Rhinolophus ferrumequinum: one gene and its partners. The protein of the gene in region 3 interacts with the protein of the main gene of each other region in a pairwise test. Links are inferred from orthologs where the notes say so. Each region holds a gene or a part of one and is shown on either strand. Other genes may lie near its edges.

Evidence for each region.
Region 1: the proteins of EXOC2 (region 3) and EXOC1 interact in binary tests that used the Homo sapiens proteins (3 or more experiments, as listed by UniProt). The link is inferred for Rhinolophus ferrumequinum from reciprocal best matches to the Homo sapiens genes EXOC2 and EXOC1.
Region 2: the proteins of EXOC2 (region 3) and RALB interact in a two-hybrid assay, tested with the Homo sapiens proteins (2 studies listed by BioGRID). The link is inferred for Rhinolophus ferrumequinum from reciprocal best matches to the Homo sapiens genes EXOC2 and RALB.

The regions. Positions count from the first base shown.
Region 1 is NC_046288.1:17,844,725-17,855,162, forward strand, and holds the start of EXOC1 (exocyst complex component 1), read left to right. Parts: upstream 1-5,935; 5' UTR 5,936-6,238; intron 6,239-10,438.
Region 2 is NC_046291.1:91,169,941-91,180,080, forward strand, and holds the start of RALB (ras-related protein Ral-B), read left to right. Parts: upstream 1-5,410; 5' UTR 5,411-5,557; intron 5,558-10,140. UniProt on the Homo sapiens protein: Multifunctional GTPase involved in a variety of cellular processes including gene expression, cell migration, cell proliferation, oncogenic transformation and membrane trafficking.
Region 3 is NC_046292.1:93,601,076-93,610,801, reverse strand, and holds the start of EXOC2 (exocyst complex component 2), read right to left. Parts: upstream 4,003-9,726; 5' UTR 3,734-4,002; intron 3,532-3,733; exon of another isoform or gene 3,380-3,531; intron 1-3,379. UniProt on the Homo sapiens protein: Component of the exocyst complex involved in the docking of exocytic vesicles with fusion sites on the plasma membrane.

The DNA of each region.
Region 1 (10,438 bases), on a different chromosome or scaffold from region 3:
AGATTCTGTGGAAAAATAGATAACGAGCTTATTACAGAAGTACCAGGTTTTGTTTACATTTCTAAGGGAACAACAGTCATGGTGACTCATTTCATGCCTCTCCTAGGAAGTCCTTCATCCTCAACGACCTACATTAACAGCAAAAATTAATCATCTACACTCCATGTCACTAAATAACGATAACAACATCAACAGCCTTCTCTTTCTACAGTTTAAGTGCTGCTTACCAGAAAGTTACTTATACGGACTGTTGTTTAAACACTGTTACTTAATATCTGTGAAAATATATCTTCCCACCGAATTTTAGCCATACAAATGGTTAAAAAAAAAATTATAACTCTTTGGGATAAAGGAGAAATATAAGTTTAAAGCAGAGTATTCAACATGAAATCTGATTTTCAGCAAAAATGAATATGGTCAAGTCTGTGTAGTTATTTATATTTATCTTTTTTTGTTTTTAAGAGGATAGCTTATTGAAAGCAAAGGGTCAGAGCTCCCGAACAGGAGGGGGTCCCGAATGGAGGTGCCCCTATATTTATCTTGATTTGCTTACACTTCTAGGGTACAGGTCTAGGCCTGCTGGTGGCATTGCTACTGAATTCTGCAAGGGGAGAGAAAAATCCTGTGTCTAGTGCTGGACACAAGAGTAGTAACAAAGCCACACTGAGAATCATTAACCTCTACTTCAAGCCAAAATATGTTTACTTTTGTTCATGGTGGCCAGTTCCCTGAAGAGATTCAGAATTAGGTCAGAGATGACCTCCGCACTTATGAGAGAATCTCTCCAAACGTTGATAGGGAGCTTAGCACTGTGCCTTTTATTTGTACGACACAATGACCCCACAATATGTACATTGCATAACGCAGCTGCATTAAAAAAACGTTTGAGATGCAATGTGATTCTGCAAGCCAACTTTAACCTTTGCCTTCGTTTGTACGTGTACAACTTATTGTGTTGTTCTAATGTGCATCTGTTATCGGTTAATATTTATTTTTAATATTTATTTAAGAGTGATGTAGATAATTACCATTCTAATTTAGTGACTCTCTGGCTTCCTTCTATAAAGTTGCAAAAAAATAAAAAGTATTATGTGGGGATATTTACATTTGTTTCTAATAAAACCTAAAACAAACACCAATTGCTTTATGCCCATAACAGTAGAAGCTCTTCTGTCATGCTGTCACTGCTACAGCAATTTATAGAGAAAGAATATGGAAAGTGGGTCACTGTGATTCTCACTGTTCTAAAAAACAAACAAACAACAACAAAAAAAACTTGATGTTCTTTGTTTTGATACTAATAGTCTGATAACATCTGAAAAGATTTTTCATGTCTTAGATAGGAATGTGCATAACTGAATTACAAGAAAACACTGCTTAAAAAATTTTAAAAAAGAAAAACAAACTAACTGATGTAATAAAAGTCCACATAATTAGGAATAAAGAAAAAGTAGAATTATATGAACCCATATGATTTCTTCAAACATATAAAGACCCTTGACCTCATACTCAAATTGAAACCAATCAGACTTAAATTAAGGGAGAGTTTTGACCACGGTCAAAGTAGGTTGTGTGAAAGCCCACTTCTGTGAGATCTATGGGGTTTTCTCACTAAACAAATACACAAAGCCAGGTGCGCTACCCGTCCATTGGTGCTTCATCAGGCAGAACCCTGGAGACAGTAGGACACTTCTTCCTTCCTGCTGGCTTTCAAGCTAAGGAAAATGGACTCCCTTTTTCCCTCAAGTTACCAAATGAGTGTGGTTACTCTGAGTGCTCTGCGATCATCAAGTTTCCACAAACTCCACACCTCTGCTTGATCGATATACTGTATTGAGTCATTTCTCTAAGGAAACATTAACTTCAGTAATCCTGCCAGTATTGTTAAATCATCAATATTCACCACTCTTGGCCATTTAGAAGAGCTTTTCCCTTGGAGCTTATTAACAATGGAAAAAATATTTCATGCTATCCGAATATGAGATTGCCTCATACATGATATATGTTAACATGTACAGCCTTCTGTCTATGAAAGGGAAACAGGACCTCAGGGCCTGAGTGACTATTATATGTTTTTTAAGGACATAAATCTATCCAGTTCACTCTTCTAAACTAAATGGCATGTAATAATAGCTACCATTTGAGTGCTTGCTATGTGCCAAGCGATGTGCCAAGGGCTTTATAAGAAATAGCAAATTGCATGAGAGTCCCAAAAGATGGGGATTATTTTTAATTTTAAAAATGAGGAAACTGGGGCTCAGAAGAGGTAAATAACTTGCCCTGTGGTCAATGAACCAATAAAGACCAGATTTAAACCCAGGTCTTCATGGCCCCAGTGGCCATGTACTTTCCACTATTTTAAGTTGCTTCCCAAGTCTATACGTGCAGATGACTGTGGTAAGATAAAGACATAGTCATTGAAATACTACTATGTGTGCCTCCTATTTGTCCTTAGGCTAAAGAATTAATTATTCTATGCCTCCATTTATTAGTCTTTAAAATGAGGATAATAAAGATTCCTGCCTTATGGGGTTGTTGTGAGGACTAAATTAGTCAATATAAAGTGCTTAGAATAGTACACTGAACATAATAAGAGCATTGGTATGAGTTCTAGGAACAGGGAATACACCAAAGAACAAAAAGACAAAAGTCCTTGCTCTCAAAAGCCATTCTAGAGAAAGGGAAAGAGCAAATATACTAACCAACAAACAAATAACATATACATCAGGATGTAATGTCATAGTATGTCAAGATGTAATAAGAAGCACGAAGAAAACAAAGCAAAAAAGAAAGATAAAGAATACTACCTTAAATAGGGCTATCATGAAAGACCTCAATGAGGTAACACGTGGGTGAAGGCTTGAAAGGGATGCAGTCATGAGCCATGCAGATATTTAATGAAAAATCATTCCAATCCAAGAATACTATGAAGGACTATATGCCACCAAATTCAATAACCTAGAAGAAATGGACAAGTTCTTAGAAACATACAGCCTTCCTAGGCTGAACCATGAAGAATTGGAAAATCTAAATAGACCGATCACCAGTAATGAAATTGAATCAGTCATCCAAATCCTTCCCAAAAGCAAAAGTCCAGGACCAGATGCCTTCACTAGAGAATTCTACCAAACCTTCAAAGAGGATCTAATACCAATCCTGCTCAAACTCTTCCAAAAAACTGAGAAAGAGAAAGTAGTCCCTAACTCATTTTATGAGACCAACATTACCCTGATACTAAAACCTGGTAAGGATAACACAAAAAAAGAAAACTACAGACCAATATCTCTGCTGAATACAGATGCAAACATCCTAAACAAAACTCTAGCAAATCGAATGCAGCAATACATTAAAAAGATTATTCATCACGACCAATTGGGGTTCATCCCAGGGGCACAAGGATGGTTCAACATACCAAAATCCATCAATGTGATACATCACATAAACAAAATAAAGTACAAAAATCATATGATTGTATTAATTGATGCAGAAAAAGCATTTGACAAGATACAACATCCATTTATGATTAAAACACTTAATAAGGTAGATATAGAAGGAAAATACCTTAACATAATAAAGGCCATATATGACAAGCCCTCTCAGCTAATCTCATAATTAACAGTGAAAAACTGAAATTCTTTGCTCTACGTTCAGGAACACGACAGGGCTGTCCCCTATCACCTCTGCTTTTCAACATAGTGTTAGAGGTCCTTGCCAGAGCAATCAGGCAAGAGAAAGAAATAAAAGGCATCCAAATTGGGAATGAAAAAGTTAAATTGTCACTCTTTGCAGATGACATGATGCTATATATAGAAAACCCTAAAGACTCCACCAAAAAGCTAGTAGAAACAATCAACGAATACAGTAAAGTTGCCAGCTACAAAATCAACGTACAAACTCCATTGTATTCCTATATACTAACAATGAAATCTCAGAAAAAGAAATACAAAAAACAATTCCTTTTGCAATTGCAGCAAAAAGAATAAAATACCTAGGAAGAAACTTAACAAAGGATGTGAAAGACCTATATGCTGAAAACTACAAGACATTTTTAAAAGACATTGAAGAAGACACAAAGAAATGGAAAGATATTCCGTGCTCATGGATTGGAAGAATCAACATAGTTAAAATAGCCATATTACCCAAAGCAATATACAGATTTAATGCAATCTCCATCAAAATCCCAATGGTATTTTGTAAAGAAGTAGAACAAAAAATCATCAGATTTGTTTGGAACCACAAAAGACCCCGAATAGCCAAAGCAATCTTAAGAAAAAAGAATAATACTGGAGGTATCACACTCCCTGACTTTAGCTTGTACTACAGGGCTACAATAATCAAAACAGCATGGTATTGGCAGAAAAACAGACACATAGACCAATGGAATAGAATTGAGAACCCAGAAATAAAACCACATAAATATGGACAGATAATTTTTGACAAAGAAGCAAAAAACATACAATGGAGAAAAGACAGACTCTTCAATAAATGGTGCAGGCAGAATTGGATAGCCACGTGCAAAAGAATGAAACTGTCACCATGTACCAAAATTAATTCAAAATGGATCAAAGACTTAAGCATAAGACCTGACACAATAAACTGCATAGAAGAAAACATAGGTACTAAACTTATGGACTTTGGGTTCAAAGAGCATTTTATGAATTTGACTCCAAATGCAAGGGAAGTAAAAGCTAAAATAAACGAATGGGACTATATGAAACTTAAAAGCTTCTGCACAGCAAAATAAACCATCGACAAAATAAAGAGGCAACCAACTGAATGGGAGAAGATTTTTGCAAACAGTGCCTCCGATAAGGGGCTAATATCCAAAATATACAAGGAACTCATGCAACTCAACAAAAAACAAACAAACAACCCAATTGAAAATTGGGCAGAGGACCTGAAGAGACATTTCTCCAAAGAGGACATACAAATGGCAAATAGACATATGAAAAAATGCTCAACAACACTAATCATCAGAGAAATGCAAATAAAAACCACAATGAGATATCACCTCACCCCAGTCAGAGTGACTACCATCAACAAGACAAATAGTAACAAGTGTTGGAGAGGCTGTGGAGAAAAAGGAACCCTCATACACTCTTGGTGGGAATGCAGACTGGTGCAGCCATTATGGAAGGTAGTGTGGAGGTTCCTCAAAAAATTACGAATAGAATTATCATATGACCCAGCAATCCCTCTCCTGGGTATCTATCCAAAAAATCTGAAAACATTTATCCATAAAGACACTTGTGCTCCAATGTTCATTGCAGCTTTGTTTACGGTGGCCAAGACATGGAAACAACCAAAATGTCCTTCGATAGATGAATGGATAAAGAAGTTGTGGTATATATATACACTGGAATACTATTTGGCTGTAAAAAAAGGTGAAATAGGACCATTTGTGACAACATGGATGGATCTTGAGAATATAATGCTAAGCGAAATAAGTCAGACAGAAAAAGCAGAGAACCATATGATTTCACTGATATATGGTATATGAACCAAAAACAACAAAAGAACAAGACAATCAAATGAGAAGAAAAAACTCATAGACACAGACCATAGTTTAGTGGTTACCAGAGGGAAAGGGGGAAGGGGGGGCGGGAGATGAGGGTAAAGGGGATCAAATATATGGTGATGGAAGGAGAACTGACTCTGGGTGGTGAACACACAATGGGATTTATAGATGATGTAAAACAGAATTGTACACCTGAAATCTTTGTAATTTTACTAATAATTGTCACCCCAAAGAACTTTAAAAAAAAAATGAAATGAAATAAATCTCCAGGTCCCAGGTCAGTCTCCAAGCGAGAGGCCCCGCCCCTGCCTGTCCTTGACACGCCCTCCAGCGAGACCTTGCCCCGCCTCCCCACGCCTATCACCATTCCACCGGATAGACTTCCGGCGCGGAGGTTTGTCACATGGCCGGATATGGGAAGTAGTGGTGGAACGGTTGCTTCCGGTTCACCGCTCCATTGAGGGGCACATCTTAGTATCGGTGGCCGCCCCGCCGCATCTGGTCTCTGTCTTGGAACAGCCGCCTCGGCCCAGCCTGGCTGGGTCGCGCCTTGCGGTAAGCCTTGGGCCGCGGCTGCCAGTAGTGCCGGCGGCGGCGGACAGACGAGCGGACTGGCGGGCGCCATGGTCTGAGGAGGCTCCTCAGTTCCCCTAGTGGCTCTTCTCCCGGGGTCTACCTCCCTCCGTTATCAGCCGTCCCTTCCTTTCCCCGCCTGTCTGGGTAAGGCGCAAAGCCCGCTCGTAGCACCTCAGCTCTTTGCTGTCCTGGGGCTTGGGAGAACAATCCTCACGTACCTCTTTATGGATCCGCCCATAGCAACCATGTTTTCTTTGGGCAAAACGGCCCTGATCATTTGCTCTTCGGCGTGGACCGGGAGAGGAGGGCGTGACAGTGCCTTCTCCTTTGTCCAAATCCACATTTCCTGCTAAATGTCTGGCGTACATTTCCCTGTGTCCGTGCACAGTTTTCTCTTCTGGATGACAGGGCTCCACGCGTTGAGACGTCTTGAGAGCATACGGGGCCCAATCCACATAGGTACTCACATGGACCAGCTACTTGTCATGCAATGTAAGGTCCGACTGAATGTAAGGAAACAGGAACCGACACAGAGGAAGCCGTGTGTGCCTGCCTCTGGAATGTGGTCAGACATGGATTCTTAAATCTGGAAGATAGGTTTAGAGGATCTCTAGTGACGTGTTCATTGACTTAAGAGAAAAGTACTCTAAAGCCTGTAGAGTTAATCACTGCACCCTTAAAATGTAAGTGCGGTGGGGGGTCTTCATGAACATGTCTGTCATATTCACCGCTGTAACTTAGAGCAGTGCCTCCCACTTAGTAGACATCAGTATTCACTGAATGAATGGGGGTCCTGTAGTGGCTCTCATTATGCCTAACTCCTTTATGAGGGATTCCCAGGCCTCCCTTTTCCCCACTTACTATACAATCAGTTGTACTTTTAACCAAGGAGGGATTGTGTGGTAAATGTTGACCACTAACAATCATTCATTTGACCAGTTTTTACTATTCAATTGAGGTTACCTCAAGAGGTATTTGTTAGGTACCTACTAAGAAAGAACATAAAACTATGCCCGAGTGTCTCTCTCTCCTCCTGGATTTCTCTCTCTCTGTCTCTCTCTTTCAAGAAAGTTCTCGAGATCCACAAACTTAGGATTTCATGAAGCAATTAGACAGCAAGTGCTTGATTGATTAGTTAATACAGTAAGTGTTATAGCAATTGAGAGGAGAGATCAATTTGGATGAAGATCTTTATTGAATCAACTTCATATAAACCATGAAGTGTAATTTGGGTTTGGATATGGAAAAGCACCTAAGCAAAGACTTAAATACCAGAATGAATGAGAGGGTTTGGAGTGGGAGGTTTGTATTTGGGAACTTGAGTGAAACACTGAGCATGTTGTGATGAAAGCTGTTTTAATATTACTTGTTTGTGGAGGGACTTGGAGTTGTGGAAGCTTGCAAAGAGATAATCAGATACTGTAGTGTTAAATATAGTTGATGTGAACCTGGGTTAGTGTGTTGGCAGTGGGAACAGAATGGAAGGACAACTTATGTGTAGATGAGGCGAAATCAACAGAATGTGGTAGCAAATTTCATGTTGTCAATGGAGGAGGAGAATCAAATATGACAGATTTTGAACCTGGACATTTGCTTACAGATGTGAGAGTGGGAAAGGGGGAATCTTAGAGAAGCAGCAGTTATCATGTTATTTGGTACTATCATTTTGGTTAATTTATTAAATGCCTGCTACATCTTTGCCAAATTAGAACTTTGCCAAGTTCTAATAATACAAAGATAAGTAATAATACAAAGATAAGTAAGCTCCTTGTTTGCCTACAAGGAGCTACTTTTCATACAACTAACTAGAATATATCACTTAAAAGTGGTATGTTAGCAAAGTAGAGAGGAAATGTTAGAGCAGTAGTAAGGGAATTATTGTTTTTGTGTGTGTGACGGCTTCACAGAAGAGATAACATTTTAGCAGGACTTTTGAGGGATGAGTTGGAATTTCCCAGGGAGTTAAGAATTCCAAGAAAAGGAAATTGCATGAACAAAACTCAGAGATAGGAAACTGACCAGTATCTTGTGTAGCTTGGGCATAGAATGGAGTAGAGCTTTTAACATAGTGTGTAGGTCGTAGAACATACTAAAGAATTAATAACAGGGATATTTTGTAATAGGCAGAATGGAGTGAAGATGTAGAGAGGGAGAGGAAAGCAATTGGGGAAAATTCTACTTCATGGCTTCTGTATTCTCTGCAGAGTAAATGGTGAAGTTCATTTGCAGAGAGGTAGGAGGTAGACACTGGAGTTGGGGGTTGAAAGAATAAGCATTTGCAACAACATTGATGGGGAGTAGGAAGAGGAATCATTGAAGGAAATGTTCAAGGATTGCTGAGCAACACTGAAAGTTTAGCTTTGACTGGTCTTAGACATTTGTAATGAATGCAGTGAAGAAGGACATATGGCCTTCTTAAACAGCATTCGTTAGCCCAAGAGAAGTGGAGAGTGGAAATTTGTAACAGGGAGAACTGGTCTACAAACAGAGCAAAATAATTGAAGGAGTAATAATAAAAATGTGGGTGTAGAGAAATGAACACTGCTTCCAGGCTAGGTTGGAAAAGAAATTAAGCTGGAGGCCAGATGGGCAAAGAGAATAGGAAGGAGAGGGAGGTCAGAGGACTAGAGGCTGAGATGCGGTGAAACAGGGAAGATCTGATTTTTGTGCGAAAATTTTTTGAGTTGGAACAGAGATCAACTTTTCACAGATTGAGAAAAATAGAGGAGATACCTAGTTTGCAAGTGTCATTTTGTTATAAAAATTCATTGTAAGTCATTTATTTAAAACTCATAATTTATTTTCCCATAGATATGGTGTTAGAAGTAGAATTTCCTAAGCGAGCTCACACATGAAATACTACATTTCCTTCGGAAAATAGTAATACACCCACACGCGTGCGCGTGCACACACACAGATTATGTATATATATAGATTGATATATATATATTCTATATATACAAGTAAGCTCCTTGTTTGCCTACAATTGAATATATATATTCTATATATATATCAATCTATATATTCTATATATATATTCAAAAAATAAAATTGAAAAGGGATTTTAAAAAATATTTAACTGAAGTTGGCATTTTAAAAAACATTGAATTATATGAGAAAAAGAAGTAGAAACCTATTTTTTATAACAGCTTTTTTGAAACATAATTCATATATCATAAAATTCACCCTTTTCAAGTATATAATTCAGTGTTTTTCAGTATATTCACAAGGTCATACAACCATCACTACTATCTAATTCCAGGACATTTTCATCACCCAAAAAAGAAACCCCACGCCCATTAGCAGTCTCTCTTCATTCCTCTTTGCCCCCAGCCTCTGGCAACCACAGATCTTTCTGTCTCTATGGATTTGTCTACTCTGGACATTTTATGTAAATAGAATCATAAAATATGTGGTCGTTTGTATTAGGTTGGTGCAAAAGTAATTGCGGTTTAAAAGGTTACAAATAATTACAAAAACCGCAATTACTTTTGCACCAACCTAATAACTGGCTTCTTTCACTTAGTATAATGTTTTCAGGATTCATCAGTGTTGTAGCATGTATCAGTACTTTGGGTTTTTTTAATGGCCAAATAATATTCTACCATGTCGGTTGCATTTTATTTTGTTGTATCAGTTCATCAGCTGATGGACATTTGAGTTTTCTACTTTTTGGCTATTGTGAATAAAGCTGCCCTGACTATTCATGTACAAGTTTTTGTGTGGGCATATTTTTTCAGTTGTCTTGAGTATATAGCTAGGAGTGGAATTGCTGGATTACATGGTAACTCCATATGTAATTTTGTGAAGAACAACCAAATTGTTTTCTAAAGTGGCTGCACCATTTTATAGTAACCAGCAATGTATGAGAGTTCCTTTTTCTCCACATCGTTACCAACACTTGTCTTTTTAATTTTAGTCATCTTGGTGTAAAGTGGTAGGTATCTCATTGTGATTTTGATTTGCATTTTCCTAATGCTAATGATGTAGAGCATCTTTTCATAGGATTATTGGTCATTTGTATATCTTTGGAGAAATGTCTATTCAAATCTTTTGCCAAGTTTTTAATTGGGGTATTTGTCTTTTTATTGTTGAGTTATAATTGAGTTGTAAGTGTTCTTTCTATAGGAAATTTAATATTAAAAGATTGAGCATGGGTTTTAAATGTTTTTCTTTTTCTTTTTTCGTATTACAATATTTGGGTAGCACTTCCAAAGATTTTAGAATTCGAAAGTACTGGTTCTCTAATTTGTTTTCCAAACATACAGCTTTTTATTTTTATCATGTATGTGTGTTAATGTATTAAATCATTCTCCCTATGCTTATTAGCCATAAATAAATTAC
Region 2 (10,140 bases), on a different chromosome or scaffold from region 3:
TACATTAACCTCATTGCTGCTATTTTTGTTCCTGTTTGCCAAATTTCCTCTTGGCCATTGTAAAGAATTAAAACTCTACAGAAAAACGTATTCCAGGAAGGGGAATTGTTCCTGACACCCACCCCAGAGAACTGCATCTTAATATTTTGCTGGACTTGCTTCAGGAAGAGGAACTCTGGGTTGGGGTGTGACTGCAGATAAGTGTTGCTTTCTTTTCAAAGCAAGGGTGTCCCTGCTCAGGGGCTCCTTATTCCCCATGGGCCACCCCATATTCCTCAGACCCTCAACCCTTTGGCCTGGCCCTGCTCTTGGGAGTAGACGCAAGGGAAGAGATGAAGCTGTCCATTAAAAAAGAAAACATTTTAAAAAGTGTTGCTAATAAAAAAAAATCACTGGGGAAGGGTTTGACCTTTGTGGGTGGTGGGGGCAGTGACAGAGGCTGCATGGGGGTTGGCTGGGGGCCAGCCTCAGGCCCAGGAGGGCACTGCCCCTCCCCAGCTGCTGGGGCAGCGATGGGTAAGAGGGGCTTGGGCTTGGGGAGGGGGAGAGAGGGGACAGAGAAGGGCTGAAATGCAGCCCCGCCCCCCACCCTGGAGAGCTGGAACCAGCCTTAAGCACTGGAGGTGGAGGTGAGTAAAGGGCTTGGAGAGCACTGGACCCCCACAGAGGTCACAGGAATGATCTAGCTGCACACGGCCAAGGTCCAGGGTGAGCCAGGCCTGAGTCTGACCTCGGGCTCTCCTTCCTTGTCCTCTGTGACCTGTTGGCCCCTGAGGCCCAGGGTCCTCAGCTGTCAAGTGAGGAATAGCAGCTGAGGGACTGAGTGAGGGGTCATGAGAGCAAATGGCAAATGTCTAACTGAGCCAGACATGGAGGGATTCAGCCAACAGTTTCCTCATCCCTCTTTGTCTGTCTGTCTGCCCAGAACTGGCTGACTCCGTGGGTCATATGCATTTGCAGATAAGGGAACACCTAGATCTGGCGGGGTGTCATCAGCGTGCACTGGATGGGTGAGATGCAAACACAGTGAGAACCACCCTTCCCTGGGTGGGTCCCCAGGGAGCCCAGGAGTCACCACGGCGGAAGCAGCTGGCACGAAGACCTTAGGAAGAGACCGGGAACACATTAGCTGGGACAGGGAGGGGCTCCCGGGGTCTTTTCATTCTGTCAGATAGGCCTGGCTTCGTGGGAGACTGGATAATATTTCATGTTGGAGAGATCTCAGCACACAGAATCCAGATGCTCAAATCTTGTTTTATCTCACGATCAGTGCTTTGCAGCTGTCACCCTGCGGGGGCTTTTATCTGGTTACCTGGAGGTCAGATCCTGGGCAGCTGTTTACGGTGCTCTTTGGAAGCAAGGCACACGTGTCTCCACGCAGATGGAAGAAAGGGGCGAACGTGTGCCGGCAGGTAGTGGGGATTAGCGGTAATGATGAAGACTTTTTATTACTCAATGACAAGACGACTTGACTTCATTTCTGGGAGATAATTCTTTGTAAACTACGATGGCAGAAAGATAACGCCAGCGAATTCATAATTTAAAATAGAATCATTTTTTTTCTAATGTGTTTCCCAAGCAGATTAATTTCTTTTGGAAGATGAAAACTCCTCCTCTAGCTAATTACTTGGGTCTCTGCCTCTCCAGCAGAGCAATTCCCAGGAACATCTGGTTAGTTCCTACAGGCTGGCTGGGGCATTAGAAACATAGAAAGACGGTAATGAGGGAATAGAAGCTCTCAACACCTTTTCCGAAGGAGGGATAAATCAGTCCGTCCCAGCAGTGCGAATGCAAGCTCTCGGTTCCTTCCTCTAAGCACTTCCCTTGGTCTAGGACTTTTGGTTTTGATCACCTGGATGATAAAAACAGGCAGGAAGGAGTGGGCATCCATTGAGCTGTCATTAGTCACTTATTCCTGCGTCTGAGCCCCACTACTGAGAATAGGATGAGATGGCAGGAAGTGGGGAGAGAGCATTTGGACACTGAGGGCTGGAGAAGCACAGAATAGACAGATAGGCATAGTACTGAAGATGAACTCCATCCAGTGTTGCTGTTTACAGTAGATCCTTTCCGTAACCTTCGGGAGGCAAGAATGGCTTTCTTTTTCCCTCTACAAATTGGCAGCCCCCTTTATTTTCTAACTGAGGTGGTCACCAACTATTGAATGCCGACAGGGATGCTGAGGCTTGTCAGACTCTTTCTAACAATGCCACCTATTTATATAATACTGCCAGCTAATGGGAGCATGTCTCTAATGCTGGCTGCTGGCTGATGTTCTAGGAAATTGGTCAGCTGTCCTCTATGCACCCTTCCCCATTCCTGCCTGGCTTCTGAGTCCCCACCTCTCTGGGATCAAAGCACCTGGGGGGGGTGCCCAAATTCCAGCCTTGCCTCTGCACCCCTCACTCTGCAATCTCCCTATGCCTGATTACCCTTCTAGTCCTGTGGACCCCACTTTGCTTGGACTCCCTGGAATAGCTTCCTAATCTCCATTTCCACATCTACCCCTTATAGGCCATTCGCCACACCAGAGTGGTCTTTAAACAGCCAGAGTGGTCTGGCTTTTTAAAACCTAGGTTTTTTAAAACCTAACTCAAAGCATGTCACTATCCTGGCTCAAATGCCCCTAGTCGCTTCACACTTGGAATAAATGCCAGTCTCCTTATCATAACCTAGAAGTCCCCGCCCACATAATCTGGCTCTCACTTCTCTCCCCACCCTTGGGTGGCTTCACTTTCGTAATGACTGGGCATTTCATCCAGACCTCCTGTCTACTCTCAAGAGTACCTAACTTTTTTCTGTCTTAGGAGTTGGCACATGCTTATTACTCCGCTGGAAATATTCTCCTCTCCCTCCCTTCACTGCCAACTTTTTCCAGGATTGGTTTATTTTCATCCTTCAAGTCCTAACTTAAATGTCACCTCCTAAGAGAGGCCTTTTTGGCCACCCAGTCTCAGGTAATTTGCAATGACACAATTTGTAAGTATCGAGTTGCTTGTCTGTTTCCTGGTTCCTTATCTGTGCTTGTCTGAGTTGTTCACCACTGTGTCCCCAGCTTGGTACACTGCAGGGCCTTGTATCAGTCAGAGAAGGCTAAGCTATGTGGCAGTAACAAACAACTTCCAAATCTTAGTACCTTCAAACCACAAAGGCTTCTCAATCATGCCAAATGTCCATCACAGGATGGTGGGGGCAGGGAGGGGTTGCTTATTGTAGGGTCCCAGGCTGATGGAGCAGCCACACCCCCAAACATTCCCAGTGGCCATACCAGAGCTTTGGAGGGCCTTGCAATGGTAAATAAAGTCTCCAGTCCAAAACTGATGTATGTCACTGCCACTCACAAGTCATTGGTTAGATCCAGTCACATAACCTCACAGGGAGCTAGGAGGTTCAATCCTACTCAGCGCCCAGGACCCTGATCCTGCTCCGTTAACTGCTTGTGTCACTTGGGGGGGCTGCTGCAGGCAGCTCTCCTGTCTAAACTTGCATTTATAAGACGGTACCAGCACAGCAGGTCCTTTCTGCCAGGCTGCACACAGCATTGGTTGCACTGATACTGTCACACACCTGTAGATAAAATGGGCCTTGGAAGGAAACGCAGCTTCTAGTTTGGATTAACAAGCTTGAGCGTACATCTTGGTTTCTGGTGGCAATCACAATATAAGCTAACATTTGTTGAGCACTCACAAAGTTCCTAGCACTGCACTGAGAGCTTTACATGTAATCTCATTTAAATCTTCACACCTGGGTGGTCAGTTGCTCAGTGGTTAGAGCACATGCTCATAACAGCAAGGTCGCCAGTTCGGTTCCCACATGGGCCAGTGAGGCTCGACCCCCGCCCCCAACACACACACAACGACTTGACATGGAGCTGATGGGTCCTGGAAAAACACTGTTCCCAATATTCCCCATTAAAAAAAAATCTTCAGACCTACAGTGTGGAGGTGCCACTATTGGGGGGGAGGGGGTGACTGAGGTCTGCAGAGGTTAAGCAATTTCTTAATTAAGATAATTGCTATTTATATGATAGAGCCCTCCTTTGAACCCATGCTTCCTGATTCCAAACCTGTGCACTTAATCCTTAGTCTTGGGTCTGAATTCTCTTCTAGGTTATAAATACCAGAGAGCTTCCTTTTTGAGAAACCTCCTCCTACTTCTCTCCCTTATATTATTAGTAACTAGCAGAATTTCTGTCCTATAATTAGTGTGCAATAAAAGTCTTTAATGTATATGAAAAGGGTAAAAACAGAACACTTAAGATTGTAGACTAAGACTAGCATATCCTGGTTACATGTTTTTTTTGTTAAGCCTGTTAAGACTAAGTTAAATCTGTGCTTTTTGATAAAGCTGTTGGTGGAAGCCCTGGATCTGTTAGTTGCTTATACATAGCAATCTAATCAAGGCACAAAGCCTCTCATATAATACACATGTATCCTAATGTGTACTTATCAACAACGAAAGAATTAATTACATGGTGCTAGCTGCTGTGAGTATCAAATTGAACAAGCACTACTTTCCTTCCCCAGAAATTATAGAGGTGGATATTTAAACAAGGAATTGTAATACACTGTGTCCCGCTGTGAGGTTTGCGGAGGGGTCAGATGGGCCAAAATCCTGAGAAGGCGGAGGGGGGTGGGAGGATTCAGCTCTAGGAAGGGGAGGTTAGTTAGGAAAATCAACCCGAGGTCAAACCCTATATGGACAGAAAATGAAAAGTTTCCGTGCCTTGGAGGCCGATGGCCGGCGGGGGGCAGGTTGTGAGAGAAAAACCTGTCGGGCATGAGCTTGCCCACTGCACTTCCTGCCTCAAGGCTACCGCTGGGGTTAGAATTCTTGACCTTGTAATCTGGGTCCAGTTATTGCTAGAATTGATCAAGTAACTCCACTGCTGCTAATGAGACGTCATTAGCCAAGCGAGTAGTGGCGGCAGGCGGAGGTCGCGCCACAGGAGACCCTGGCCGGCGTCCCACGGGCCACCTGAACCCTTGGACACCCGCGCGCCGCATCGTCATTTTCCTTGCTTTTCTGTCTCAGGTCAGTCCTTCCCTTTTACTTTCCACTACTTTGGTCTCGCCCTCATCTAAATTCACGACGGACGCGCCCTCCGCCGCCCACGCCCAGGGACCCCAGACCTGGCTCCTCCACTACAGCAGTGGTCACGTGCAACTCGTCCGGCGGTGGAAAGTAGGCACTGGAGGGGGGCGGTGTAGGCGTGCCGAGCCCGCCCCTCCCGCCTGAGGTGGCTTATCATTGGTTAAGCCTTCTCCCCAGCCTCCTGAGGCTTGGAAATTCTGCTTCGGATTGGGTAATAGGCTCTCAGTGGGCGTGGCCACCCAGGACAGGCACGGAAGCGAGGGCGCGCTCTCGAGAGGTGGGGTTGCCTAGGCGACGCCGGGGGCGCGCTCGGGGGTGGGGAAGCTAGCCCAGACTACTCGATGACAAATCGCCTGGGGACTGCTGGGGTCCGGCCCCTGGAGGAGGCAAAGGAGAGGGCGGGGCGGGTTTAAGATCGGCGGGCCGGCTGCGGACGGCCGAGGCTGCGCCGGACGGAGCCCAGGTAAGAATGTCCGCGCGCGGGCAGGAGCCCTCGGAGCGGGGTGGGGCGCGGGCTGGGGAAGTGGGGTGCGTCGCCCTGAGCTTGGTGTCCGTCTGACCCCGCGCTCTCCGCTCTGGGCTGTGGCCGGCGGTCGAATACCTCGCGCCGCGAGGCCGGCGGAGGGCGACGCTGGAGCAGCGGCCCCGGGAGGTACCCGGGAGAAAGCCTCCGGGCCTCCCAGACCGGTCTGGAGCTGAGGAACTGGGGGCGGCGCCCCAGCCTCTCCCTTTTCGCCGCTCCTTCCCTTTTCCCACAAATGGCCTCTGCTTCCACTTCCTGTTCACTTCCTCAGCCCCTTAGTTGGCGCTCTGGGCAGGATAAAAGCTAAAGTGTTGCAAAAACTTATTAGTACCTTAAAAACTTGGACTGAACAGGGGACGTGTTCCAAAAGTTGCTGAGTTGCTGGGTCTGTTTTTGGTTCTGTCTTGCACATGAGCATAAAGTTGTTTCTTTGCGACCCCTCCCCCCAATTTCCTTATGATACATACTAGCACTGAACGTGGCTTCTAATAGGAATCACCATGGACTTGAACTGTTTGCCTGGACCAGGGTTCAGCACCTCTCTTCTTGCCCTTTTATAGGTATATAAATAAGGTTATCCACGGTTGTTTCAGAACTGCTAGTGGCAGAGGTAGCAGCAGCGCCCAGACTACTTGTTTAAAAGTGTCCCTCTCTTTGCTAATTTTTGGGTGAATACTGGAAACGTAACTTTGATGTTGTTATCGTTGAGTTTCTGGGGAGAAGGTCTTGTGTTGTTGCTGATTTAGAATTGCCAATGGAAGAGGCTTGGCTGATTGTTCATTTGAGCCATCTGTGACTTGATTTGAACCCTTGTAGAACAGTGAACTTCCTGCTTTGTCCTAGTTTCCTAACCTCATTTCTTTTTGTTAAGTTTTGGAGATGGATAGTGGGCACTGATTATCAGAGAGGACAGCATACCTTTCAGGTGCATAAATGACCCATGTTCTAAGCAGAGCAGTAAGGTTCTTGGATGTTAAAGCTCGAAACAAGGTCATGTCTCTTAGACCTGGAACCAATAGAATATCGAAGTTCCAGAAATGGGACGGCTGTGGAAGGTAGCATTGAATATTGGGAAGAACAGGAGGGCAGGGTGTGAAGACCTAGGTTTGATGCTGGTTCTGAAACTTGATTATCTTGAGTATGACTTTTCACCTCTCTGTGCTGCAGAATCCACAGCTGTAAAAAGGTGATATTTATCCTACTTGTGGGCTTAAAGGAGCCAGGAATGTTTAAGGCGTTCTTTGTGGTAGTGGGGGTGGGATGGAGGTGGGGGTGGGATGGAGATAGGGGTGGGAATGAGGCCAGGGGTACACATCCCCTCTGTGGTTTTAGTCGAGTCAGTGAGTCGACTTTCCTCTGGCCACATTTGGGTCTTTCCTTCTGTGGGGACAAAGCTCTGGAGAGCAGTTTCCAGGCTCTCGGCCTTACATGGAGGGGTGCTGGCTCGGGTAGTAGATGACCGTCGGCTGTGGCTAGTTGACCGTCAGCTGTAGCCGGTTGGGGTTAGCCAGTTGGCCACCGATATAACTGCCGCTGCTTTGGGGAGGGGGAGTCGGTCGGTTGGCAGAAAAGCGGACAGCAGGTCGCACGTGTGAATCCAGCCTCCGGTGAAACCATAGTGGTATGACTCCCCTACCTATGGCTCCGTGGGGGTTCCTTTTTGGCCTAGCCACATCCTGCGTTCTTATGTGGGGAGTGGGAGCAGAGACCCCGCAGGCCGCCCCGTAGGCCGCCCCGCATGACACCTTCCTTTTCTGTTCACACTATTTCTCATTGGAAAAGTAGGTACTCTTGTCTGAGATCTCAGCAAGATTTTCCTATGCCTGAGGAGTAGAACCTTTCCCAGGATTTTGTCTGGAAGAAGTGGGGGTATAGTTATTAGATATCTTTTGGGAATGTGGGACCTAAACACTCAAAGACAGGAAAACACGAATTAGAGCCTTAAATGGGATCTAAATGGATCTTGGTAGAAGGTGGAAGAAGTAGAAAAGTTCTAAATACTTGCCTTCATTCTTTAAGGTTCTTGCCTTGGCTGAAGATGGCTTGAGACTGGAAATTTTTAAACCAGAGTTGAGATAATCCTTTGTGCCACATCACTCAATCCCACAATACCTCTTTGAATTCAGTTACTAAATTCTTATCCAGTCGTAGAATTTGGAAACATTGTTGGAAACCTTTTTTGAAAGCTCAATTTGGAGATAATATAATAACCTAGAACTGCAGTGTTGGAAGAGATCTTGGTGAACTCTAAGGTTTCCAATGTAACTTCTCTCAAGATGATGTACAAGAGTCCTGCTTTTCATTGGCTCCAAGTACTTCTAAACAAACAGCCTCTGCTCTTAGATATGCAAGACACTTGGATTTATTTTTTAAAGTGAGTTCATGTGGTTGAGAAGTCTGACTCAAAGAGAGCGAAGTACCACAGAAAATGGAACTCACCTGGAGTGGGGGTGGGCTGGGTAAGGAAGAGGAGGGAAACGAATGTTACTGAGCATCAGCGATCTGCTTGGCACAGACTCACAGATCTAACTAATACCGGATAAGTATCTGGTCTTGGAGATAATATTTGACCTTTAGGTCCTCAGTTCTTTTGGTACCTAGGAATACAAGAGTGGATATATCTATATCTATATCTATCATCTATATCTACCTATATCTATATCTATATCGTTTATCTATATCATCTGTATCTATATCTATATCTATATCATCTTCTTAGATATTCCAAAAGTAGAGGGACCAGTGGGCAAGATGTGAGAGTGGAAAGAAAGATGAAGAGAGTGTGGAAGCTGAGTGTCAATACCAGACATTATGGTATGTGGTTACCACAGCAATTCCAAAATGCTGAGAGAGAGAGAGAGAGAGAAAGGAAGAGGACAATCAACGTGGAAACTGTGGTATCTTGGTATCTCATCTTGGAAGTGACATACCATCACTTTTACCAGCTCATAGACCAAACAACGTGGGAGGGGACTGACGACAAGAGGAGAGCTTGAGGACCATTGGCATTCTTACAGGCCAACTACCACAATTTCTTTTTTAAAGTTTAGACCCAACATTATTGAGAAAAATCTTTGTTTCATCAACTTACTAAAGTATGTACTGTAGGAGATCAAAATGCAACTGGAGTTTTTACTATTCTAGAAACTTTTAATATTATGCTTGAAACTTCATGTTCTTTCTTCTGGTTCTTTATTGTCAGATGCTATAATTAATTAGCCAAATATGCTGTAGCTTTGGAAATTAGAAATTTAAATCTTGCTGGTCCCTACACCAAATGGAACAGCTGAGTTGTTTTTTTTTTTAATCCTAAAACAAATTGGTAACAATTATTGCCAAAATGATCTCCTTGATGAACAGCTTAAAATTAGTCATTAATCTGTGTATTTTAAAAAATAAAACTCACTGGCAAAGTAGCTGAAAAATCCTAGATCCTGCTGCCCGCCCCTAGTTATTTTAAATCTTTGGACAATATTTATTTGTCTTGCTATTTCTTCATTTTCCTTTTGAAACTCTGACACATTTTAATTATCTGGGTAGAAGGGCTTTATTCTTTTAGCTTCTAGATGAAACCTTTCCGAAGTGTCTGTAGGTAGAGAGAAGAGTTGAGGAATCCTGAGCCTGAAGCCTGAATAAATGACCTCTAAGTTTCCTTCCATCTCTAAAAATTCTATGACTAATATTTTCGTGTAACAAATATCCTTTGAATTGAGAATATTTATAACAAGAGATTTCATAAATCATGTTAGACTGTAACTTCAGATAATGAAATTTTCTGAGCATCTATTTTGTTCATCCTGACCCAGTAGAGTCGCCATTAGGCAGACTGAAAAAGTCAGCACAATGTGATTTCCTTTCCTCCTCTTTTTGGCCCCTTTCCCATTTGCTGCCCTAATTTATGAGCTAGTATCTTTCTTTTCTTTCATCCTACCTCTCCAATCATCGCCCTCCTTCCTCCCCCCCTCCATAAAAACGAAAGGATTGGTTCAGTCATTTATTGTGGATTAGCTGATCCTATTATTAGGAATGGATTTTAGCCAACGTGGTACCCCTACTCATACTTGTATATTAAGCCTTTTTTAAATATCTCAAATTGTATCTGTTCAGTAAGTTCTATCATTTAAAAAAATTTTTTTTCTAAAAGGATTCTACACCCAATTCCAATGTGGTGTGTGTGGTGGGGGAAGTGTTTCCCCAACACCACCAAGCATCTCTCGGATACCAGTTGGGTGTGCTACGATTCAACTAAATTCTGGCACTGTCAACCCCGAGGTAGCATCAGATTGCCCACGTCATGGGCTCAGTCCCACAAGGCTGCCCTGCACTTCAGATGCCAGTTGCAAGCCCAGGTTGTTATCTGTGCTTCTGACCAGCTGGCTATAGATTGGAGATTCCCACAACTCCTTGGATTTGTTTCATTTGCTAAAGCAGTTTACTGAACACAGGAAACCCATTTACTTACTGGATTACCGATTTATTACAAAGGATATTAAAGGATACAAATCAACAGCCAGATGAAGAGA
Region 3 (9,726 bases):
CAAAGACTGTAAGCACAGAGTGGAAGGTCTGAGTTCTGGGTTTCAGAAGGGGACCAGTTTCAGACTGAGGCATGTCAGTCCTGCTCCCCCACCACCAAGTACCCATCTCAGCCAATAGCCATAGTGCAGTCTGGGGCTACAGCTCTCAGCAGGGTCTGCCTTCTTCTTTTGTCCCTTCCAGTTGTTGTTAGTTTCTCTTTGGGCTTCACTATCCCTTGTTTGTTCCCTCATGCTGCCCACACCTCTGCAAGTAGTCCCTTTATTAAAATCTCTTTATTTGAACCATCTGGCATGAATTCTGATTCCTGCTGAGACCCCAATTTATCCAGATACACATCATGTCAATCACATGGGGCTTTCATTAAAATTAAACTAAAAGCAAATATTCCTGGCTTTTTGCCTTGTTGTGCCTTTCAGTAAAACTATAATATAATAAAAGTTAAAATCATATACCCTCCAAAATCACAGAACTTTGTAAGTGGAAAAGGCCTTTAAAAAATTCATCAAAGCTTACAGATGAAACTAAGGGCCAAACCTGCCAACACAGCAAAGCTAGCAAGCAAGAGAGGCAGAAGCATGCAGGGTTGCATAGTGATGACCAAGGCTAAGTCAGTGCCAGGTAAGATTCCAGGGGCCTGCCTGGTTCTACCTTGGGACAGTTTACCTTCTGATGAAGTAAAGCCCAGTTTTCCTAAGTCCTGATGTCCACTGTTCTTTCCATTCTTGGCTCTCGGTTTGTAACCAAGAGTTATTGTAAGTGGGAAATAGGAAGTAGGAGGAATTACTGAAACCAAAACCATAAATAAAGCAACCTGTATGGCCCACCCCAGCAAAAAGTTAAAGAATGTTCGTGAAGATTTTTAGCAAACCTAATACAATTTTCCAGGAAAAAAAGGGAGGGCTAATAAATCGGTTTCAAATTCCCGTGCCTGACCTTCAAGGCACCCCATAATCCAAAATGCTCTCATTTACCAGCCAGCGAGCCTTTGTTCCTGGTGTGCTGCCCAGATGTTCACCTGCCTTCCCTCTGAAGGGCAGCATCACAGGCTGACTTCAATGAAGCCTCCCAATTACTCCACCCCAATACACGCTTCCCTTCTCTGAATTCCTGCTGTACTTAAACTCAGTACTATAGTTTAGTTCTTAGCCATTCTTTGAGAGGGCAAAAATGCCCCTTCTGAATGTAGGCTAACATTGTTTTATTTCTAATGTGTGTGTCAGGCTGTATGCTAAAATTGGGAGATACAAAAATGACCGAGACTAAACCCTGTCCAACAAGAGCTTAGTCTTTTGACAGACATGTAAATACCAGTCATAGTTACAGCCCCTACGACAAGGATAAGACAAGTGCTAAGTGGTTATAGGATTCACTGAGTTGGAAATTTCCAAAGCAGGAAGAACTCTTAGAAATAATCTAGTTTTGTATATTCTCTGACTACAGGGAAAAGAAAACTGAAGCCCAACAGGCTAAGTAACTCAGCTCAGGCTACAAAGCAGGTGGGTGGTAGTGCATGGACTAGTAAATGGTTGTTTCGACTACTAAGCCAAAATACCTTTTGACTAATTTTCAAACTGAAATCCAAGGATGCCATATGAGTATGTCCACAGCTTCAAGATTCATCCGTTCTCTACAATTACTTTAATTTTATGTGGTTTTATCAATAATTCTTTTAAATTAACATAAACATATACTGAATCACGTGATTATAACTGAACACTACTACCACTGGATTTCACCAGGCACTCCAGGGGATCCATGGGCACATTCCCCAGGGTCTGAGAACAAGCAACACTTCTAGCATACTGCTTAGCAGAGTCATCAATGTTATTTCCCTTTCCAGTCAATTGCAAAATCCTCTCTACTCAACACTGGCCTATAACTCATCCATTCAATAAATATTTAAGCTCCTCTATGTGCTAGATGCTGTACCAGGAATCCAGGATAGATGAGAAGTAAGCTGGTGAATGGGCGAAAAAGCATGAGTAACTGAGAGATTAATTGTGTAACTAGCATTTCCTATATGGCCTAATTCTGCTACTGGATGACACTAGAAACTGTTCACGGTCCTTTACTAGAAGGCTGCCTTTGCAAAATTTTTTGAGTACCAATTTCATTTCCCGTAAGATTCATATACAACAGGTTCTCAAATGTCTATGGAATGAAAATTTAACTTAGCAGGTTAATAATCATCTTTTTGAGAGGTGATATTAATAGTTCAAAGTGATATTCAGTACAGGAAATACTTGACAAAGAAAAAAATTATTTTCTGAAACTTCCAATAGTTGTTCCAAGTTACACTGGAGGATCCTGCTTCTCTGCTTAAAATTAGTAAGTTTCTACTTAAATAGAACATTTAAGTACTAAACACATATCATCCTCTTTCTATTGCCACCCTTTGAGTCAACTTTTAACATACAGGTAATCCCTGGGAAGCTTTTGGGTTTCAGTTCCTTTGCCATTAGAGTCATTTACACAGAGCCTGGCCAGACTATGATAACATAAAGTATTGTTTACTCATTAGGACACAGATCCACGTTCACCTCAGTGAGCACTAGCATTTCAATATAGTGCACCCAAACGATTTAATTAAGGTGTGGCTGATTTTTAAAGTATTTTTTAAAGTTTTCCTTGTAGGTTTACTCGGATTCATAAAAACAATGAAAATGTTATTTTCATACTCATTAGTATGATTAACCTTTAGCAATTAAAAATAGCTTATTTCCATTTTAAGACAAGCTCTTTCAAGAACTGTTTATTGGAGTTAAAAAAGTGTCTATTTACTAAATCTTGCGATACCAAGGTAAGCAAGAGAGAGCTTACCTTGGAGACAGCACAGTGGTTTGGGGGTGCAGGCACTGAGTAACTAACTATACTGCAGGCTAGTTACCTAACCAAGCTCAGACCCCAGTCTGAGCTTGTTCCCCCTTCTGGAAAATGGGTATACTGCAACAGCACCTACCGCTAATGGGATTAAACCAGTCAGTAAATGTTAAATGCTTACAACAGTGATTGACACCTAGAAGATGCTCGGTATTGCTCTAAACTGATGCAAACCTAAGCAAAACGTGCCTCACATTCGCTCTGCGAACAAATTCTGAAACCTAACTCCGCGACAACGACGCAGGCGCGCAAGGCAGCAGGTGAGGCGAACGAGGGCCAACGTCCCGGAGGCCCGGGTCCCGCGAGGGGCGCGGACCGCGGACGCGACGGCGCGGCTCCCTCCCCCTCACGGTCAGGGACTGGAGAGCCGGACGAGGGGCTGACCACGGGCGCCGGCGGACCGCCACTCCCGCCCGCCTCTCCAGGAGCGAGGCTCGCCCCCTGCCCGGCCGCGCCTCCCCGGGCGGGCCCCCCGCCGGGACCTCCAGGACCACATACCTGCAGCCGGCCTGCCGCCCCTCAGCCCGCTCCGATAGGGCTCCGGCCGCTCTCGGAGCAGCTCTCGGGTCGCAGCCCCACCGCCGCGGCCCGCCACTTCCGCCCGCTGGGAGCGCCGACGGCGTCGATCCGCCGAGTAGTAGAGCGCCGAGTTTTCGATGAGCCGCCCTCTGGGGAGGAGAGCGCGGCGGGCGGCGGGCGGCGGGCGGCGGGCGGCGGGCGGCGGGCGGCGGGCGGCGGGCGGCGGGCGGCGGGCGGCGGGCGGCGGGCGGCGGGCGGCGGGCGGCGGGCGGCGTGGGGGGGGGGAAGGGGGGCAGGATGCACGTCGCTGGGTGCGCGGTGCGCTGTTCTTACCCTTGCCCTCAGATACCTTCCAGGAAGCGGAGGAGGGCCCTCGGGGCGTTTGTGGTGGGCTCTGCGCTGGCTCAGGACGCCGTGACTCCCCCCGAGGCCCGGAGAGGCTAAGTGACACACAAAAGCCACAGGGCCATGCAAGTTACGGAGGAGAATGCCAGGCTACAGCCTGGAAACCCTGCGGGTTGATTGTTTAAATTCAACAAACTCAGTGAGCACCTCTATGGCCTAGGCGCTGTGCGGGTGCGCTGGATACACCCAACGGCAGTCACTTCCTTCCAGGATCTCGCGGGGCGGGGGGTAAACCGTACCGGGGCAAGAGGAAAAGAAATGTCACAGCGACTGCAGCAGTCTGCAAGAAATTACCGTGGCCATGGCGGGGATGGGAAAAGGTGGTGACGAAGATGAGAAAATACTCTTCTGGTTGCTTCTATTTTGTTAGCAAAAGAAGCAGCAAGGTCATCCGGGAATAGGAAGGATGAGGGACAACGGAGGTTTGAGGAGAAAGAGTGAAATCTTAGTATTGGATTTTGTGAAGCATATTACTAAGAAAACGCGGTAAGATTTCCAGGCAGGACTGAAGGCCTTCTTGGGATATGCTGTCCTAAGTTTAAAATGGAGCCAGTCATCATGCTTGTCCATTTTTGGCTGTTCTGGTGTAGGTAGGTAGTTGAAAATTAGTGTAACGAAGGTTGGAGTTTTACAAGGCATAAGGAGCAGGGAGCAAAGGAGTTGAGAGTCTATGCAAAGAAATGGCATAATGGAGGACAATGGAGTTTAAGCTCACGTGATGGGGTTTTCAGAGGGATTTTTCTAGTTGTCCTGGAACTGGCCACTTAAACTGGAAAAGGCGGCAGTTAACTAGGGTGACCCCAGTGACATAACTGAGTCTTTTCTGGTATCCTGGCTTAATAATAAAGAGTGCCCCTTTTACTGTCAAAAGTGTCCCTGTTTGGATGATGTATGGTCACCCTAAAGTCACTCCACATTATAAAGAGAGGCCCAAACTATTGGGCTCAGATACTCCTTCAAGGCGTGGAAGGGATTCACCCAAGTATCTGTGAGACTGGTTGGTACTGGCTGACCTGAAGCATACTGGGAGCTGTGCTTGCTGCCATCGTAGTGGAGCTGAGCATGGGGGCAAAGTTCTTGGGAGAGCTGGCCTGCCATTTGGACTATATGGGACCCAGAGTATCCCGTCTGCTTCCGGTCTAGAAGTTCCCAAAGGTAGGAGACCTGTTGGCGTGGCTGGTTACAGCTGAATGGAGAGGAGCGTAGCCATGGGCAGAGGCAGAGCATGGTGGGGCCTTGCCAGCTTACCCCAAGAATTGACATGTGCACCTCACAGAAATTTTGTGTTTGGCCAATCTGTATGTGTCACATGAATGCCCACCAGAGAGCATCTGCAGCAGGGAGCCCCTGTACCCAGGATGATTTGACCAGCCTCTGTCCTGGATCACCTCAGTGTTTTAGAATGGGCCTATGAATGGGGAAGCCATGGTGGCAGGGATGGAGCTACACGTACTCCTGCCAACAAGGTGATCTAGACAGTGCGACCACCCCCTTCAGCTACAGTGGGCCAATGTGCATTGTGCTTCCCTCGAAGAGACCAGGCAGCCATTTGGTGGCAAGTTGGTTTTCTCAGACCCAGATACTTATCCTGGGTTTGGGTTTATCTTCCCTACCTGCACGGCCTGGCAAGCATCACTGTTGAATTGCTCACATAGTGTCTGATCTATCATCGTGGAATTGCCCAGGATATCACCTAGGATCAGGGACCTCTAAAGAGTGAGAGAGGTCCGACAAAGGGGACTATCCCACAAGATCACTGATTGTGCCACACATCACACACCCAGAAGCTGCCATCCTGATAGAACATTAGAAGGGCCTCTGAAGGCACAACTGAGGCTCCAGCTTGAGGAGGGCATTTTGCAGGTTAGGATGCTGTGCTATGGTATGTACTACGTATTTTCAATCTAACACCATCGTATGGTGCTGTGTCCCTCATAGAGTCCTGGCTCCTCCAGCAGGGGAGGACGCTCTGCTGGAGGAGCCAGGGGACACAAAGTTCACCTAAATCTAAAGCCTCTCTTTATTTGTGTTCCTCAGTCAACAAAAAACTGACCCTTATTATCAGGAGGAAATAGGGGCAGGGAAAATTATTTCTGGAACTCAGGACATGCACTGGACATCTTTTTCATGCCTGGTGATATCAGTTAATGGGCAATGCAGCAACCCTGGCCTGACAGGGGCATGGCAACCAGGGCCTAGACCCATGTCTGGGATGAGGGACGCAGGGACAAAGCTGTGGGCCACTTCATCAAGCAGCCCAGGCCAGCAAAAGTGCTATTTGAGGGTGAGGGAATCTAGAATGGGTGATCAGGGAGGAAATAATGGAAATCATCATGACCTCAGAACCTACAGTGGCAGGACCCATAGCTCTGCTTATCAATACCCCTGATGTGGGGATGACTGGACATCAGCGTGAAAAGTCAGTGACAGGACAGACTGAACACAACATGGCATGCAAGGGATGGACAGTGGCAGAGGCCATCAACCTTAACCCATATTTCTCTGCTGTACCCTCTGCTTTCTGGGAAAGCCTGCCCACTTGTGCCTCTGGGCTTTCTTCCTGGAACCAGGACAAGCTGGAAGCACTAGGCAGTTCATGGGACCACATACAGGCTTCAGCCAGCCAGTCTGCCTCCCTCCTGGAGTAGCTCAGATGCGTGTTATTCAATGTATTCCAGAGCTGCCCTTGACACAGCTCCAGCATCTTCAGGAATGGCTTCATAGCACATTTTTTATTGGCTTCCTTTCCTTTCCCCACCTGGCTTCCCCACTCTCCTCCTGGTGTTTCCTGGTATCACCTCCCAAGTTAAATACTAGCTCTTGAAACCATGTCTCAGGGATGGCTTCTGCAGGAATGCAGCCAAGATAGTCATTATCACAGACTGAAAACAAACTATACTTATTATTACTCAAATATCTTTTATGTGCTGAATTTGCACACCTATCAGAGAAATACAGCCCAAGAAAAAGAAGTTGATACTTCGTACAGCCCCCTTGAGTCCTGGGACTTAGCATGACTTTATTTTTTTGTCCTTTACATCGGAAGACAAGTCAAAATGTTGCTCAAGCACGCAATTTCTCAACTGTCCCAGGATCATCCATTTTAAAACACACAGGAAACATGAGTCAGAGACCTGGCAACAGAGGTTGAAAGGAAATTAAGTTTTCTGTATCCCTGGCAGTAGTACCCCACTTCACAGTGAAACTAAACCCTTTTCTTGTCTCCCCTTAAGGTCTCAGTGACAGGCCATTTCTCAAGTTAGGTGATCCTGCCATAAGCTGGTATGAATGGCACTTGAGGACTCACAGATCTTTCCTTAATAAAAAAAGAAGGAGAAGAAGGAGAAGGAGAAGAAAACTACTGTATTACTGAAACAACAACACTCAAAAGAGGAAAGAATCTTTCGCAAATATGAAAATTACTGGTGGTGTTTTCTTTCTTTTCTTAAACTTCTGGTCTGTATTCTAAAGCCAGCTAGCAAATGTTGGCACAGTATATGCAGAAACTAGCAGCAAATAAAATAATTACACATAAAATTGCAGCAGTAGCTTTTGAGGCAATTAAATATCATTATAGCTTTGTGTTTTCAATTCTGCATGAGATTTAGTTTGACCTAGAAAAAATAACTTTGACGCATTAAATTCCTTTGGTTTTAGTCTTAAGAAATACTATGACAGGCACAGTTTCCTGTTCTTTAGATTTTTTTTTTTAACATTAAATGAACACCTAAGTGTTTCATAGTGCATGGCATATCAGTTTGTGATGGACCATAATTTGTATAGACTCTAATCCTCAAAACAACTATAATTTGCCATACCTTAGCAATCTTTTTTACCAAAGACTGACAATTGTTTGGTCTTCTGTTAACTCAGATTATAAGTCCCTTGCTGGCAGCTTCCTGTCTTATTCATCATTGTAGAGCCTTATATAGCAGGTATTTAATACATCAGCCACCCAGTAATAGCACTAACCACAACCTGTAAATATATTATCTATTTCTTCACTTTTTTTTGGTCTGCTCCCACTAGGATATGCGCTTCTTGAGGAAAGGGAACTTTGTATTGTTCACCCATGTCTCATACATGGTAGATGCTCAACAAATAAGTGTTGAATGCAAAACTAAAAAAATAATGACTAATACATTATGATAGTGGCAGAGTTGTGGGGGATCTGTGTTTCCAGTGATGTAGTTACATTATATTACATTTACATTTTGTGCCCTTAAGTGAACATATGCCTAATGATCACTTGCGGGCACAAAAATGTGAGCAAAATCTGATATGTAAATCTCGACAATGCAGGAAGGACTGAGGTGTTTCACCGAATACCGCCCAATTTTGTCATCCTTCACTGGAGTCTTGTAGGTTTAAGATCACAAGGACAATTTAAAATCCTCCAAGTTTGTAACAATTACAGCTCTGTTTTAGTAGTTCTTGGATTCGGCCTACTGGTTAGGGAAGCCTTGTGCATCATGTTGTTTTTACCTTAAACTTGCTATTGTGTGATCGTAGCAAATGCCTTTACGTGGACTTCAGCATCCATGTCAGCTTCAAAGCTCTGTGTATGCAAAGTCCTCAGAGTGTAGTCAAATGTCTCCAATTGATTTTACAGCGAAGCAGAGCTCTGTGGTTTTCTACTTACTTGCTATTTGCATATTTTATTTAAGAAAAACTATAAAGTTGGGTCTATATAGGAATATGGTGTTTCAACAGTTACTCCGACCATATGGCTATCACTGCCACCCAGCACCATGATGCAGCTGTGTTTACCACTTGTGTTTATATCGGGATGTCCCTGGTGGTGGGTCGTGTCAGTAGGTGGTCTGGAAGAGAACAGAGAAATTGAGGAAAGTCACTCTCTGTTAGAGAGATATGAGAGATGGAACCTGGAGAGAGGGAATTTGGTCAGAACATGAAAATGACTCACCGTGGCCACCAGGGGATCTCCCTTCCCTTCCAGGCCTGCCCTGCTGCTGCAGACAGGGAAGGGACAACCTAATTCCATGGTTTCCTCAGAATAAGAATTTAGACCTCTTTACCTTCTAAATGAAGGAGATATAACTGAATGTAAGATGGCATTTTAATTTATTTTAAATTGCTAGGCAATGGTGGTTGAAATTTTTTTGTTCGGGTTTTTTTTTCGGGGGGGTGTTTGTTTTGTTTTTTCTTTTAAAATGTTCCACTTGAAGGTCTAATATACTTCAGTAGGAACAAGGCCAATTTGCATTTTATCATCAGTGTCTGCAATCATAGAAAAAGGAACCATATTCCAAGTTTATTCCACTGATGTGAAAGTTCCCCTATAGACTGGGGCTTGGGACAGCAGACTGGCTGTCGTGCCATGTTATGTCTGCTCTCAAGGAATGTCACCCCATTTGCAGCAGAAGCGCCAGTTACAGTTTCACTTGGGCTGAGAGACGTGTTGTTGCTGGCCTTTCGGCTTTTGTATAGGATTTTAGTCTGGTGGACGCTCCTTTATGAAGGCTTCCCACTTCCAGGAGTTTTAGAAATGGTTTGCATACAATTTATCTGCCTGCCGTCATATCTCATTTCCTGTTCTCATACGACATAGTTTTCATCTGAGTCCTTTCATTGCTCCACTAACACTTTAGTTTCCCATAAACCTAATAAAAGATTTTAAACTCCGTAAAGGTAGTTTTCTCATCCTTTTTTCAGTAGATTTCGCCTAAGTTGTTGATTCGGCTGTGCTCCCTTGAAAGCATTGAATATAGTTCCCAAAGGCGATTAGAAGCATTTCGTGCAGGACGCCCCCTCAGTGTGCCCACGGCAGGTACCCCTGCTGCTACCGACCATGAGTGCTGAGGCCGCATCCTGCCTCCTACGATAATGTCTTCAAGCAGCTGCTGATACTCTTCTGCTGGCTAGTGTCCTGGGCCTGGCCCTCTTTATACTTTCTGCGG